2 linked regions of the Notamacropus eugenii genome follow. The protein of the gene in region 1 purifies or fractionates together with the protein of each later gene. This does not show direct contact. Links are inferred from orthologs where the notes say so. Each region holds a gene or a part of one and is shown on either strand. Other genes may lie near its edges.

What was found.
Region 2: the proteins of MYBBP1A (region 1) and LYAR purify together in Homo sapiens (affinity purification with mass spectrometry; 3 studies listed by BioGRID and IntAct, with this or other methods). This does not show direct contact. The link is inferred for Notamacropus eugenii from reciprocal best matches to the Homo sapiens genes MYBBP1A and LYAR.

Annotation. Positions count from the first base shown.
Region 1 is NC_092877.1:388,002,021-388,009,706, forward strand, and holds the start of MYBBP1A (myb-binding protein 1A), read right to left. Parts: upstream 3,252-7,686; 5' UTR 3,226-3,251; coding exon 2,917-3,225; intron 2,785-2,916; coding exon 2,689-2,784; intron 2,573-2,688; coding exon 2,495-2,572; intron 1,788-2,494; coding exon 1,713-1,787; intron 1,625-1,712; coding exon 1,517-1,624; intron 1,413-1,516; coding exon 1,222-1,412; intron 917-1,221; coding exon 749-916; intron 500-748; coding exon 382-499; intron 246-381; coding exon 1-245. UniProt on the Homo sapiens protein: May activate or repress transcription via interactions with sequence specific DNA-binding proteins. Repression may be mediated at least in part by histone deacetylase activity (HDAC activity).
Region 2 is NC_092877.1:62,021,293-62,028,785, reverse strand, and holds the start of LYAR (cell growth-regulating nucleolar protein), read right to left. Parts: upstream 3,031-7,493; 5' UTR 2,803-3,030; exon of another isoform or gene 2,242-2,802; intron 1-2,241. UniProt on the Homo sapiens protein: Plays a role in the maintenance of the appropriate processing of 47S/45S pre-rRNA to 32S/30S pre-rRNAs and their subsequent processing to produce 18S and 28S rRNAs. Also acts at the level of transcription regulation.

The sequences.
Region 1 (7,686 bases):
TCGAGGCAGCAGCTAAGATCAGGCCGTAGGAACATGTCTTGTAGCCAGCTGCTGTAGCGGTGCAACACCTCAGGCCGCAGGTGCCTCACCACTGACCACAGGCTGGGCACCACCGGGTAACCCTGGTTGGTGAGGGAGGAGAAGGCCACCAGCACCGCCAGCTGCTTCTCAGGGTCTGTACAGCCCTCCAGGAAGGAACCCACGTACTTCTCCATCTCTGGGGCAAACTTGAACCTTGAAGGGAGCTGGAGGACGAGGACAATCAGGGAGGGAGTGTTCCAGCTCAGGTCTGTGCCCCTCCCTGGCCTTGGCTTCCCAGGCCAGGCTAGAAGCTGGCTCTGCACCCTCCACTCCCCCCACCCCATACGCATCAGCGTCTACCTGGGCTGAGAGCACGTGGTCACCATATCGAAGCATCACTTCTCCGTGGAGGACCATGTGGAGCTGCTCCAATGATAGCAAGGGCAGGGCACTGCCCAGCAGGCGGAAGGCCGTGTAACTGGGGAGGGACGAGGGCGTCAAAGCCTCTTCTTCCTCCTCAGAGGGTCTGTTCCCCACCACCATGCCCCCAATGTCCTTCGATTCCAGTGAAGCTCGCCTGACCTGATGACTTATGGGACCGCACCCCCCCCCCCCCCCCCCCCCCCCGGGACAAGTTGAGGCTAGAGAGACGCCATGTGAGGGGCCTGGCCAGGTCTGGCTCAGGTGTCTGAGGACAAGGGGGGTGGGAAGCCTGCCAGACACACACCTGCTGGGCCCAGAATGCTCCTGAAGAAGCCCATCCTCCACCACACCCTTCCAAAAGAGCTCAAAGGTGCCCTCCTGGAGAGCGATGCGCATCAGATCCAGTGCCACAGGGGGCAGTACCTTCTCCTTCTTCACAGTCTTAGCTGCAGCGTTTAAAACTTCCACCAACCTAGAGAAGTTTGCAAACAAAAAGAAAGTATAAATACGTCCTGGGACCCCAAGGGAGGAGTCCTGACTCTAGTCTGAGCCACTGGATGGATCTGGAAACGGAGGGCCCAAGAAGGGGAGAAGGGGCTGCCCGAGCTGTCAGGGCAGCGACCTGCATGGGGAAGTGCCCGACAAACCCAGAGGCTCAGAGCCTCGGACGCCCACGAGAGGCAAGCTCTCTCACACCCGGCAGGCCTGACCCAGGAGCTGCCCCTGGCCATCTGTCTCCCTGCCAGGCTGGCCCAGGCTCCCCCCACTCAGCCACACCTGGGCACGGTCTCCTCGGTGACTACCGCTGCAGAGCCCAGCAGCTTCTTCAGCTTCTTGGGCTGCAGGACACCTGGGAACCTCTGCAGTCCCACCAGGAGGAGCTGGAGCTGGTCAGGGCTGCTGAGGGCCGAGGAGAAGTCGGCCTGCAGGACGCTCAACAGGGCCGCCTTAAACACGGGCTCCGAGACCTGAGGGGGAGAGGCAAGGCTGCAGGGGGCGCCGGGAGCGGCCAGCTGCCTCAGGTTCCCTCTCCGTAAAGCCGGGCCCTTCAGCTGCTCTTGTCCGGCCTCACCTCCCGGAGGATGTCCACCAGCGTGCGATGAGGCAGGTCCTGAAGGTGGTTCCGGTACCGGGCCAGGCTCCGCAGGAGCTGGACGGCCTCCACCAGGACCTCATGGTCCTGCGCAGGGAAAGGGCAGAGGTGGAGGTGGGCAGCGGGCAAGGACGGGTGCGGCCCCTCAGCCCCCCAGGGCCCCTGCCCCGCTCACCTTCGCCAGGCGGCCGGACTGGAACAAGGCCAGGACCCCGAACACGGTCCCGAAGGCGGCGTTCCGCAGGCGCTTCTGCAGGACAGGGAGGCTGTGAGCCCGAGTCCTAGGCGCCCGGGGGGCTCCAGGGACCCGGATGGGGGGGGGGGGGGGGAGGGCTCCAGGGACCGGGATGGGGGGGGCTCCAGGGACCCGGATGGGGGGGGGCTCCAGGGACCCGGACAGGGGGGGGGGGCTCCAGGGACCCGGATGGGGGGGGGCTCCAGGGACCCGGACAGGGGGGGGGAGCTCCAGGGACCCGGATGGGGGGGGGCTCCAGGGACCGGGACAGGGGGGGGGCTCCAGGGACCCCGATGGGGGGGGGCTCCAGGGAGCCGGATGGGGGGGGGGGGCTCCAGGGACCCGGATGGGGGGGGGGCTCCAGGGACCCGGATGGGGGGGGGGGGCTCCAGGGACCCGGATGGGGGGGGGGGCTCCAGGGACCCCGATGGGGGGGGCTCCAGGGACCCGGACGGGGGGGGGGCTCCAGGGATCCCGATGGGGGGGGGCTCCAGGGACCGGGATGGGGGGGGGGGCTCCAGGGACCGGGATGGGGGGGGGGCTCCAGGGACCGGGATGGGGGGGGCTCCAGGGACCGGGATGGGGGGGGGGCTCCAGGGACCGGGATGGGGGGGGCTCCAGGGACCGGGATGGGGGGGGGCTCCAGGGACCGGGATGGGGGGGGGCTCCAGGGACCCGGATGGGGGGGGGGGGCTCCAGGGACCCGGATGGGGGGGGCTCACCTTCCTCTCCAGGTCGTGCTTCTCGCGGATCTGCTCCCAGACGCTGCGCAAGGGGACGTCCTCCAGGGCCTGCAACACCTGCCAGAGCGCGCGCTAGGCGGAGCCCCCCCCAGCAGCCCCTCCCCCAGGGCCCCCCGCCCCGGTCCCCCCCAGCAGCCCCTCCCCCAGGGCCCCTCCCCCAGGGCCCCCCTCACCTGGCTCAGGGCCAGGCTGAAGCCCGGCCTCGCCGCCTCCCGCGTGGCGCCCAGGCCCTCGATGAGCCGCTTCAGGGCGTACTGGAGCTCGGCCCCCTGCGGGGCGGAGGGGGGAGGAGGGGAGAATGAGGCCCGGCCCCCGGCGCCCTGACCCCCGACTCTCGGCTCCCCGATCCCCGATCCCCGGAGCCCCGATCCCAGGCCCCCCGGCCCCCGGCCCGGCCGCACCTGGGGCCGCGTCCGCAGCCGCTCCACCAGCGCCGCCGTGGCCGCCAGCCGCTCGTCCTGGGCCGGCTTGGCGATGCCCCAGAACAGGTCCAGGAAGTCCCGGCTCTGCTGCAGCAAAGGCGTCGGCGGCGCAGGGGCAGCGGCGGGGGAGGGGGCTCGCTCCTCCGCCCCGGCGGCCCCCCGCTCGTCTTCGGCCGCCGCCGCCTCCGCGGGCTCCAGCTTCAGCTCCGCCGCCGCCTGCTCCGCCGCCTGCTCCGCCGCCGCCGCCCGCGATCCCCGCGTTCTCCGCAGGCTCCGAGTCCCCACCATGTTGAGCCGCTGGGCCAAATGACCCACGTGCTTTCCCGGGGCCGGCTCAGCCACACTGCTTCCGGGGCACGGCGCCAGGGCGCCTGCGCGCTGATGGTGGGGCCCAGCTGCGCCTGCGCGCGGCGGGGGCCGGAGCCATGTCTGCGCCTGTGCGCCGGGTGTGGGCGTGGTCTACAGCGACCGGGGTGGGGGGGGGGGGGGGTCCCTTCCCTTTTCACGGCTTCCTCCCCGCTCCGGGGTCCAGCCAGCCAGGGACCCGGAAGTGGCGGGGCTTGCGGGGGGGAGGGGCAATCAGGGGGAAGATCCCGAGTTCGAGTCCCCACAGCGCTGCCGCCCCCATGGGCACCGACCGATCAGATTGGGAAGGGAGCGTCCCCGCAGCCGTAACACCCAGGAGAGCCGCCGGCCTTCCCTGGGTGCCGCGGGCGGGGGGCGGGCAGCGGGCGGCGGCCTCCCCCAACGCAGTCTCCTCCCGGGCACTGCCCCGATGCCCGCAGGGGCGCTGCTCTGGAGGCCCGCGGCCCAAAGGCCCCCCTGGGCCCCAGCCGGACTCCGGGGCTCGCCCCCCCAGGCCTCCTTTGCAGGAGCGAAGCGGGGCCTTTGAGAGGCAGGCCCGGGCGCCCAGATCACCCTCCCTTGCCAGGGCGAGCCTGGTGGGGCCGGCCTGGGAGGAGGCGCTGGCCGTGGTGCTGACGGCGGCTCCCCGGCTCCAAAGGCGTTCTTGGACAACTCCGCCCTCGTGGGTACCCTGAGCCCTGCTGTCCGGACCTGGACCCCAGGCTCCTCCCAGTGCCCCGGCCCTGTCTCCCCGGGGACTCTCTTCACCCTGTTCTACCTAGAGTCTGCACTGCTTGGTGCTCCTGGCCTCCAATCAAGAGAGACAGAGACAGGAAAGAAGAAGGAAAACAGAATGAGAGAACCCCGACCGCCCGGAAAGGCGCCTGGGGATGATTCAGCTGGTGGGAAGGCAAGCTCAGAACATGCTGGCCGGCCTCTTCTCAGCCTCCTAACTGCAGAGCTCCTTGCCCCGGGACAGGCGGGCCTGGACCAGAAGCTGAATCCAGTCCTAAGCCCCACTACCCAAGGGGTCCAACCCATTCTGGACAGAGCTGTAATGTTGACAAGGTTGGGAAATGTCCTCAGAGGCAGGCGTTTGCTCGAGGCCAAGAAAGGGATACGAATGGTGAGAGAAATCATTTTTCTGTTATATTAGTAAGCAATTCTCAAACAAAGATCCAGGCTTCTTCATCTGTGTTGCTGTTTCACTGGGGCCCAGATCCTGTAAAAAGTCTGTCTCTAAAGGACATGGCTGATTGATGAGATTGTTCTAGCTATTGAGGTATGTGCACTTCAATCTTGGATGCGTGCTTGTGTCTGGAGAATAAACAGAATCCAGTCTAGGTGAGCCCTTACCCCAGAGGAAATGTGCCCCTCTCCTGGTACTCCATTAGAGTTTAGGGTAGCCAGCGAATGAAGGAGAAAAGCGTGGTCTGGATGGAGTTGGATTCCCCTGTCCAGAGTGCTGGAGGTGGCTAAGGCTCGTGATCCAGACACTTCTCAGCAGGAAGCACTGAAGACTTCTAGCCTACCTCCTCATGAAACATCCACCAGTAAGGGTTGATTTTTCAGTTGTCAAGGGAATTCCCTTTCGGGGATTATTTAAAGCTTTCAGGCTCTCCATATTTTTTTAATTGCCAAGAGAAACCACTGGTCATCAATTTATTGATTATTAGCTAGTCTAATTAATAAATTGACTATTAATTATCCAAAAATTCAATCTCTCATGTCTTTTCATTCATAATAGTGGGGAAGGATGGTTTCATATATCTTTGATTGAACTCTGTGACCTCACTGAGGACAACCAATCATCAACCAACATCACTTTGAAACACATGGGCTGGTCACAGAGGCCTTTCTTCAGCTCTGAGGTTCTGGGATTTCTCGATTCATTTGGGAGAGTGGAGTCAGGAATGGGCATTCTCCTCAGTGAGGGACCTCAGAGTTTTCCACCTGCCTTTCAGTCTAGATTTGCAAAATTCTGTGACTTTGAGCAAGGATCTTCTCCTCTTCAGGCTTTTGATTTCTCTTCTGTCAATTGGAGCATTGGACTAAATGGTATCTGTGGTCCTTTCCAACCCTAGATCTTAGTCCCTGTGAGGAGAGACTACAGCAGAATGGCCACTCAACTCAGTGCTGGCCTCTGGGATGACAGTGCTCCAGATAGAGTCCAAGGTTATGAGCGATGTTCTGTGCACAGTCAGCCATTCCTTAGAACAAACAGTATTTTTAGAAAGGGAAAAAAGCCCAGTACAACTGATGGATGCACTGAAAAAGTCCCAAACTGTGGGCAGTGTGTGCCAGCTGTGTGTCTCCTCCTCTGCAGAAGGTTAGGTCAGGAGTGTCTTCTAGCTTTTCCTCTAATGCTGCTTGAACTTTACACTCATGTTACGTCTACTTTTGACTTTGTGGTGTGCCACTGTTCTCTTCACTTACCTTGTTTTAGTTACTGTATAGATGGTTTTCTTGGCTCCGCTGACTTCATTTCTCCTCAGTTCATGTAACTCTTTCCAGGCTTCTCAGTATTTATCCCATACTTCATTTTTTACAGCACATTGATATTCCACTCTGTTTACATATCACACTTTGTTTACCCATTCCTGAACTGATGGGCATCTTTGTTTCCAATTCTTAGCTATTACAAAAAGAGCTGCTATAAATATTTTGGAGTGTATGGGCACTTTTTTCTTATTGATTGCTTGCTTGGGGTATAAGCCCCAACTCTGGCCTGCTTACCAAGGCAAGTAGGAATCCCACCCTGTAGTCAAAACACCAAAAAAAATGTACCAAATCTTTTGTGAAGATGATTCCACTCACCGTTGTTACATGGAATGTGTGCACACTTATAAACAACATGAAATCCTCTAGACTTGAAAGATGAACAGCTCTTGGAAGGGATCTCAGCAGACATCCTATCCAAATAGCAGCCCTGAGTGAAACAAGGCTGCCAAATGAAGTCCAGCTCACTCAAGTCAGAGCCAGCTACATGTTTCTCTAGAGTGGCCTCAATGAAAGGGAGCATTGTGAAGCTGGTGTAGGTTTCACAACCAAAATTAATCTAGTGAACAAGCTTGTATGCCTCCCAAAAGGAATGAACAGCTAGTTCAAGATAATGTGATTGCCACTTGGAGGAAAACACCATGCAACCATCATCAGTGCCTGTGCTCCCACCTTGATGATCCCTGATGAGGTCAAGGAAAAATTTTTATGAAGACCTGGAGACCCTCATCATCAATATACTGAAAGAGGACAAGCTTATAAGCTTATAATTCTGGATGACTTCAATGCAGGAGTAGACTCAGACTATCAGATATGGCAGGAAATCCTTGGGAGGAATGGAATCGGAAATTGCAACAGTCATTTACTACTGAAGACTTGTGCATCTCATGACGTTCCCATCACAAACATTGTCTTCTGTTTAGCTAAATGCAATGTTTACCTAAATGAGGGTACACCCCTCACCGCTAACATTTGCATTTAATAGATTATATCATTGTAAAGACAAGAGACAGGGTGTGAGAGAGATGAGGACAATGTGTGGTGCAGAGTGCTGGACTGATCATAGACTTCCTTTTCAAGCTAAACATTCACATTCAACAAAAGTGGTGGCCCCAAGGCAAGAAAACTACCTGAAGACTTAATGTCAATGGGCTAAAGTACTTCTCCAGGCATAAAGAGTTTATTGCTAACTTGGAGAGAAAATTGAACCAACACACAGTTGGCTATAGTATTGATGACGAAGGGCTCCAGGTCTTCATACAGGACTGGGCAGCTTTCAGAGATTTGGTGTACAGCACTGCGTTTACTCATCTGGGCCAAAACACTCACAAAGATCAAGATTGGTTTGATGAAAATGATGAGGAAATTCAGAAACTGCTAAATGAAAAACAAGAACTCCACAGGGTTTACCAGCAAGATAGTTCATCTGTTTCTAAGAAGGCAGTGGTTAACTTCATCAAAAGTGCAGCCTGGAAAGACTTATATGAACTGATGCTGAGTGAAAGGAGCAGAACCAGGAGAACTTAGTACATAGCAACAACCACACTGTGCAAGGAATTTTTCTGGTAGACTTAGTACTTCATGGCAATGCAAGGACTTAAAAAATTCCCAATTGACTCTTGAGGCAAAATGCCTTCCTCAACCAGAGAAAGAATTATGAAATTTGATTGCAGAATGAAGCAGATCATTTTTTTTTGTATTATGTTTTGTTTTGTTATATGCTTTCTCCCATTCATTTTAATTCTTCTATGCAACATGACTAAGGTGAAAATGTATTTTAATAGGAATGTATGTGTAAAACCTATATAAAATTATATGCCATCTTAGGGAGGGAGGGGGAGAGAGGAAAAAATCTAAGTTATATGGAAGTGATTGTAGGACATTGAAAACAAATAAAATAATTTA
Region 2 (7,493 bases), about 330 Mb from region 1:
CTCCCAGCCCAAGGTTTTCAGCACTGCTAATGGGAAAGGAAGGGGAAATGTCCCGTCCCTCAATATATCCTCCAGCCACTACCTCCATTTCTGTTCTTCACTCCAGAATTCCCTCTCCAGTTGTTTACACACTTTCCACTTTAGAATCTCAGTCCCAGGCCATGCAAATACTTTTAGAGCTGGGAGAGTTCGGGGAAAGTGACTCTCTTAATTCTGTTGCCAGAATTTAACGCATTCCTGGTATCCCAAGTTAGAAGCTGACTGTATTTTTCTATAGAATATTGTTATGTTTGATATTTAGGCTCAACAGTACTCAATAGTACTACAACATACTATATTAAACTTCAGTTCTGTTATGAATTTTATAAAGGTTTTGGTGCCCTGCCCTAAGGGAACCTCAACACCATGTCTAACATCCTTTTTATAAAAAAAAAAAATTTTTTTTGAGGTTTTTTGCACAATAATCCATTCCTAAATTAGAAGTTGCTGTTTTAGAAAACAATTTCAGACATGTTCTGGAACTTTGGTTAAATTACAGGCTGTCTTTTTGCTCCACACTTAGTGGAGATAACAATTTGTCACCTGCTTGTTATTCATATGGATTAATAAGATAATGCTTGTAATCAGCTTACTTCTTCTTTAGAAGCCCAATATGAGCCATAAAAATAACCCTAAGTATCTTTCACACTGTAAAACAGTAAACATGCAGGAAAGAATAGCATCCTGTTTTTCTCAGTTTATGACTGGGCAAAACCAAGTATTAACTCTAAAGAAATTCTACTTAAACTACAAAGTAAAAATACTCAGTGGTACAAATCAACAAATATTTTTCAAACACCTACTATTTTCCACAACCTGTACAAAGCACTGGGGATACAAAGAAAGGCAAAATTAATAGTGCGGATCCTTGTAAGAGAGGGACATACTTTATGTGTAACATTTGTTTCCCATTTCAGTCCATGACTGCACTACTGTAGCATGAGAACTGAACCTGTGGAACTCCTGGGTGAGAAAACTCCTTTTGCCAATGCACTTAGGCACCATCTCTGTAATGCAGTCTTGGAGAGCTGCTTGGAGCTTTGTTAGGGAACCAGTATCAGAGGCAGGACACTAGCTTCAAGATGGCACTCTACTGTACCACACTGCCTCTTGACTATGCAGCACTACACTTAGGAAAAGAAGTGAAACAAGGACTTATCCCATAGAGTAGTGTGACCTAGTGCAAAAAGCACAGGTTGGGAATTTGGAGATGTTCTAATTCCAGCTATGTCACTGACAAGTTGTGTGACCTAAAGGAAAGCACTTTTTCTCTCTCCTCTCCTAAAATCTTGTGGTAATGTCTCATCATGTTAAGGAGGCATTCCTGAATTCTCAAAATTCAATCTAATTTAATATTTATTAAGTGCCTATTATATGAAAGGGACACAGATAAAGTAGGAGAGGCAGTTATGGTGCAATGTCCAGTGTAGTAGTTATAAAAGGTAGATTTCACAGCCTGTCACAGACACGTAATAGTTCTGTAATTTAGAACAAGTCACTTAACCTCTTGGTGTCTCAGGCAACTCTCTAAGACATAAAATGACAGACTAGTTGCATCCAGAATCCCTACAAAATCAAAGATCCAAACCTTTCCCCCCAACACACCATGCATGCATGAGTAATTTGGAGACAAAACTGAAACACAGTCAGTTGTTTTTCAGGGCCTCCTCTCGATGTCCTTTTCGCTTCTTGGCAGCAATCTCTCATCACTCATCTTTTAGTTGCCTAGTGCCCCAAGTCTCTTTCTCTACCTTCCTGTCAAAATCTTCAAGGAATTAACTTACACATTCAGCATAATACAACAGAAAGGGTCAGGAGCTAGTCCAACACTCTCTTTTTACAGATGCACTCTTACCCTCCAAAAGCCACTGTCTTCTTGGATCAATTTCATTTCAGGCTACTTGGCACTCCTCCTGTGCTCTGATCACAGTCTACCTTACATTATGCTTGCGTATACATCCTATTCTCCCCCAGATTGGTAAGCTCTTTGAGCACAGGACGTAATTTTTTTTATCTTGGTAACCTTTTCGACTACACACCTCTCAAAAACTGAACGGTTTGCTAAACAGAACCGTTGGTCACTAGGTCCCCCCCGAAAGGGGCGGGGGCATCTTGCCAGGACAGCTGGGTGTCCGCGCATAGAGCGCCCGGCCTGGAGCCCACAATACTGGAGTTCAAATCCGTTTGCCTCGGGTTCCTCACCTGCGAAATGGGGATAACATCGGCACGTGCCTCCCACCGTGAGGACGAAAAGGGACAGTAACGGTACGGCGCTTAGCGCAGAGCCTGGCCCCGAGGTAGGGGCCGCATAAACGTTGACACTGTGGCTACAGCTCACGATCGCACGGACGCTACGCGACTCCTAACAAAGTAGCCCCGAGGCTCGGGCCACACGCAGGAGCAGCCTCCGGAGGGCCAGTCAGTCCTTAACTAAAAGCGACCCAACAAGGACTTGCTGGGGCCGCCCGGCTGCAGCGTGGCCCGGCGGAGACTCGAACCCAGGTCCTCTGACTCCGTCCATCGCCCCAGTCATCCACCCCGGGGTCTTCCTGGGCAGCGGCCCCCGCCCGCCCCCACGCTGTACCTCGAGGGCGGCGGACGGCTCGGCTGGCCCTCGGCAGCCCGGGCGCAGGCCGATCGGGGTCGCCGTGGTCCACGCCGGGGCTCCGAGCCGAGCCGGGGAACCGCCGCCAGTCAGCCCCTTCCCCCGGCTGCGGCCCCGGCCTCCGCGGCCTCAGCCCGCCCCACCGCACCACCACTCACCCCCGCCGCGCGCCAGAGAACCGTTTCAACCGCCCGCGCCCAGCACGTGGGCTCTCCCGGGGCGGCGCGTCCCGCAAGTCCGCCTCCCGCCTCCAGTCCACGCCGACTATCTGGGATTCCCCGATTCCGAGTTGGTGGCGGGGAACGCACGCAGGAAGATGCGCGCATGCGTGCACTGCAACCTGCGCTTTTCCCTTCTTCCTCCGCCCCGCCTCCGGCCCCATCTTCTCCGCACGGAAGTGACGTTACCGGAAGTGCTCTGAGATACAGGGCGCTGTCAAACCGCGGGGCCCAGCGGCCGCCGGCGGAGCCCTAGGTGCTCCGCTGAGCGGCGGGAGCGGAAGGAGCCCGAGAAGGAGGAGGGCACGCGCCCGCTAGGAGGGGTAAGGAAGCTCTTCGGGCGGTCGCTGACCGGGACCGGGAAAGACACGGCCTCGCACACCGCCTTTCTGATCTCTGCACCCTCGTCCGGGTCTTCTGGGCTCGCCCAGAGCTGGGAGGGAGGCTGGGCCGCCGCTGCGGTTCTGGAGGGGTCCTTCACGGCCACCGTAGGAGCTCGCGGCTGGCACCGCCCCGGACTAGGTGGGCGGGCCTGAGGGAGGGGAGGAAGAGTAGGAATGGGTGACCTAGGCCACCTTCGAAGTTTTAAAGATGAGGAAACTGAGGCCCAGAGAGGTTAGGTGACTTGTCCAAGGTCATAGATTTGAACCCGGGGCCTTCAGATTAGCTCGTAATTCGGAAAGCCTTCCTGCGTGCGAGGGGATGCCCAGTTGTGCCACGTGATCCTCGGGGTGTTACCCGATCAATAACCCAGCGTTTGTTAAGCTTCTGCTGTGAGGCCGGGCACTGCTGGGCGCTAGGGATACAAAGAGCAAAACGGGCCTGCGCTCGGAGACGCTGGGGGTTGGGGCGGACGACGACAGGACGCTTGGAGATGTGTACGAAACAGACGAGGTGACGGGGGCAGAGCTGAGCGCTGAAAGAAGCCAAAGATCCCGGCTGGCTTTTAAATTAAATTTCTTTTTTTTCTATTAATAAAAGTACTCTGTTTCCCACTTTATTCCTCTCCCATGGTGGGGGGAGGGGAGAAATCTTGTAACAAATATGCAAATACTAGGGATTCAGAAAGCCTGAGTTGGGGGAGGAGGGAACATCCTGGACACGTAGAAGGGCCGTACCAAGAGGCTTCGAGGTAGGTGGCTGGAATACGCCTAGTCTCAGGAACCAGAAGAAAGTCGTTTTGGCAGGACCACAGTGTCTGTGGAAGGGGAGGTAAGACTGAAGATAGGCACGGGCCAGTTTGTGACAGTCTTTAAATGCCAAAGGAGTCATATCCCCTCCTGGCCACAGTAGGGAGCCACAGGACTGAATTATTGGGGTACGGGGAAGAACGCGTGACTGACAGGAAGTCAGGAAATAGGTTTTGTCCCTGCCCTGTCAGTAACTAGTTATGGGACTCTAGGTAAGTCACCTCGTGGCTTTGCTCCTCAGATTCCTCCTCCAGTAAAATGAGGGCGTTGGACTAGATTCTCTCCGAGATTTTTTCCCATTCTAACGTTCTCTGAAAATCGCTTAATTGGTGGAAGAGCGTGAATTGGTGATTCCTCTGCCAGTAAGTTTTTCCTTATAAATAAGTGCTATGGAAGTGAAAAGTATGAAATTCCTTATAATTGTGTATAATGATGGCATCAAGCTCTAATCAAAAGAATTTCTTTTGTTTTCACTCTCAGGTACCTGAATTTGTACAGTGAGAGGTGTTTGATTTATTATGAATTGGTAGTTTCTGTAGACAGATGATTTTTTTCTTAAAGGTTTCTTTTTTTCCTATTAAGAATTAATGATGATTTTCCGGGATCAGAAACAACAAAGCTTTTTCTTTTTGAATATACAAGAGAATTTCAGCAATAGTAAAAATCCTTTCCTTAACATAAGGAAGTTTGCATTACCAAGTTCATATTTGAAAAAGGATAACATGATTATGTTTTCTTCAGAGAGGCAGATAGGTGGAACAGGAAGACAGGTGGACCTGAAGTCGGAAAAACCTGAGTTCAAATGCAGCCTCAGACGTTTACTAGCTATGTGACCTTGGGCAAATCATTTAACCTCTGTTTACCTCAGTTTCCTGAACTGTAAAATGAGGATAATAATAGCACCTAGCACCCACATTTGTTGTGTGGAAAAAGTGTGGTATTTGTAAAACCTTGAACTTAAAAGTGCTAAATAAAAGTTTGTTTCTTTCTCTCATTTGAAAAGAGAATATTTGCCAAAGGTAGGTGCCATTTTTTTGTTCCAGAGAGGATTTGTTTTCCTTGTATTCTATAATGACTTGGAATTCCTGTGTCTGAGGGAGTAGGAATTTAAATTTCAAGGGGATAAACTGAAGTAAACAAGCAGTCCAAATGAAGCAATTGTTATAAATGCTAGGTTCTCCAGGTTATGAAGATTAAAATGTCTGAATAATATTCATATTTTAGATGAGACAAAACCTGTGATAACAACTTGTTTTCTACTTAGACCTTTTATCTGAAAAGTTATGACTCTAGAAATGATTAGAAGAGGTAACAGATAGACATTTTACTGAGAGAATAGTAAAATGTGCATACAGTAAACATGAAGGTAGTTTGTGTTCATTTTACAAATTGAGAAGGGAATAAACATTTATACTGTGCCTACTACGTGCCAGACATTGTGCTAGGCACTTTTTGCAAATATTATTTCATTTGATCCTCGCAACAATCCTGTGAGGTAGGTACTACTATTATCCTCATTTTGCAATTGAGGAAACTGAGGCAAACAGGTTAAGGGACTCTCTCAGAGTCACACAGCTAATAAGTAGCTGAAGCTGGATTTGAATTCAGGTAGTCCAGACTCGAGGCCCAGTGCTCTATCCGCTGTGCCATCAACTGCCTGGGGGGAAAGTACTATGCAAGTAATTTTCTTCAGATGTGAATTGCACTAGTAGCAGGAATTTTGAATATTTTGCATGCCTACTATATACATAATTCTTTGATAATATATTATAGGCTGATACTTCTGAGATTTTGGAGTTGAGTAAAGGAAGATACATCTTATGCTTACTACAAAGAGGTCAAATCAAGTTGTTTGATAGACCCGGTACGGTGTCATGCAAATGCAGATCAGCCACACTGTTAGTCCCAGTTTCCAGGATTCCCAGAGTGCGGTGTTTAGTGGCATAAAGGTCATGGAAACAGCAAACAAGCGGGATGGTGCCAGGCATGCTTTGGTCCTGACAGCTCTGACTAGTTACACAGAAGGTGACTGATGCTTCATGTCCTTTATATTAAATTGTAAGCAAGATGAGTCAGCAAAAAAAGTCAAAATTATAATAGGAAACTGTTCATAGCATCCATGGAGGTCAAGCACTGCGACATAACTAGTTAAGGCTTGACCCTTGCAACATCGGAATCAAGCACTGTTTAATCAGAATAGAATAGGTGAACACCTTAACTCCAAAGGAAGACGCAATTCCAGAGATACAGTGAAGGACAAGACACAACATACTGTGTCACAGAAGAGTGTTGAAAGCAAGTCCCATAGGACTCCATGGCTTACGTACTATATCACTGCTGGTAGCGTACAAATATAAAAATCCTTCAAGTAATTCACAGTGGAAAAAACCATATATGTACAATATATGGAAGGTAATTACAAAGCAGCATAGGAGTAACTGAAAGCTAATACTGTGTACATATAAGTGCTAATGAAGGCGTGACTTAGCCAGTTTGTGTGCTTACTTTGAATAGTATCCAGCCCTATTGAGATTTGCTGAGGCCACATGAATCATCAGTGATTTCTTCCATGCCTGTGAATAGCTCTCCACTACCCACTCCAAGACACTACATAGAACTAGAAAGTACGAATACTGTCCATAGTTGACTTTCAGGCTTACAAAAAGACAAACCACCCTGTAATAGTTACTCTAAGGTTTACAAAGATTATTTCATGATCTCACTCAATCCTCACCATAACCCTGTGAAGTAGGCACTACAGATGTTATCACAATTATATAGATAAGAAAATTGAGTCTTAGGTGATAACTGTGATAACTTTTGCATTGTTGCACAATGCTTAAATGTCAAAAGAGAAATTTGAACCAAAATTTTTCCTTATTCTACTTTCTATTCCACATTGTTTCCTCTACTAGTTTAGCCCACATTTTAAAGGCTAGAGCTAAACATGTTTAATCTCTGCAGATTTAGTTTTACTCCTTCTTCAATTTCCTGTTTTTCTGGTTTTAGGCTATATTTTCTGAAACACTTTTCCCACCATTACCTAAAAGGTTCCTTCTGGCCCAATCAGTAGAGATTTGTTAATATTTGTTAATTAGGTACTGGGAAATATATAACATTGGATAAGACATAATTCTTAACCTCTTGGAGTTTGTGTTGTAGTAAGGAGATAAAACACAGATAACATCATCATAATAATATTACACAGCAAGTACATTAGAGAGGTGGAAAGCAGACACTCGATTTGGTCATTACCAGCAGGGAATCCAGAAGAGTTTGATGGAGATGACGTTTGAATTTAACTAGGTTAACTTTAGCTAGGTTTTCTCCACAAATTCTTAGTCTGATTATAGCATGAAAGTTATATGCATTCCTGAAAAGTATGCCAGCCCAACCTAAGTTCTGGTAGGTTCTGCTGACCTAGACTTTTTGTCATGGGCC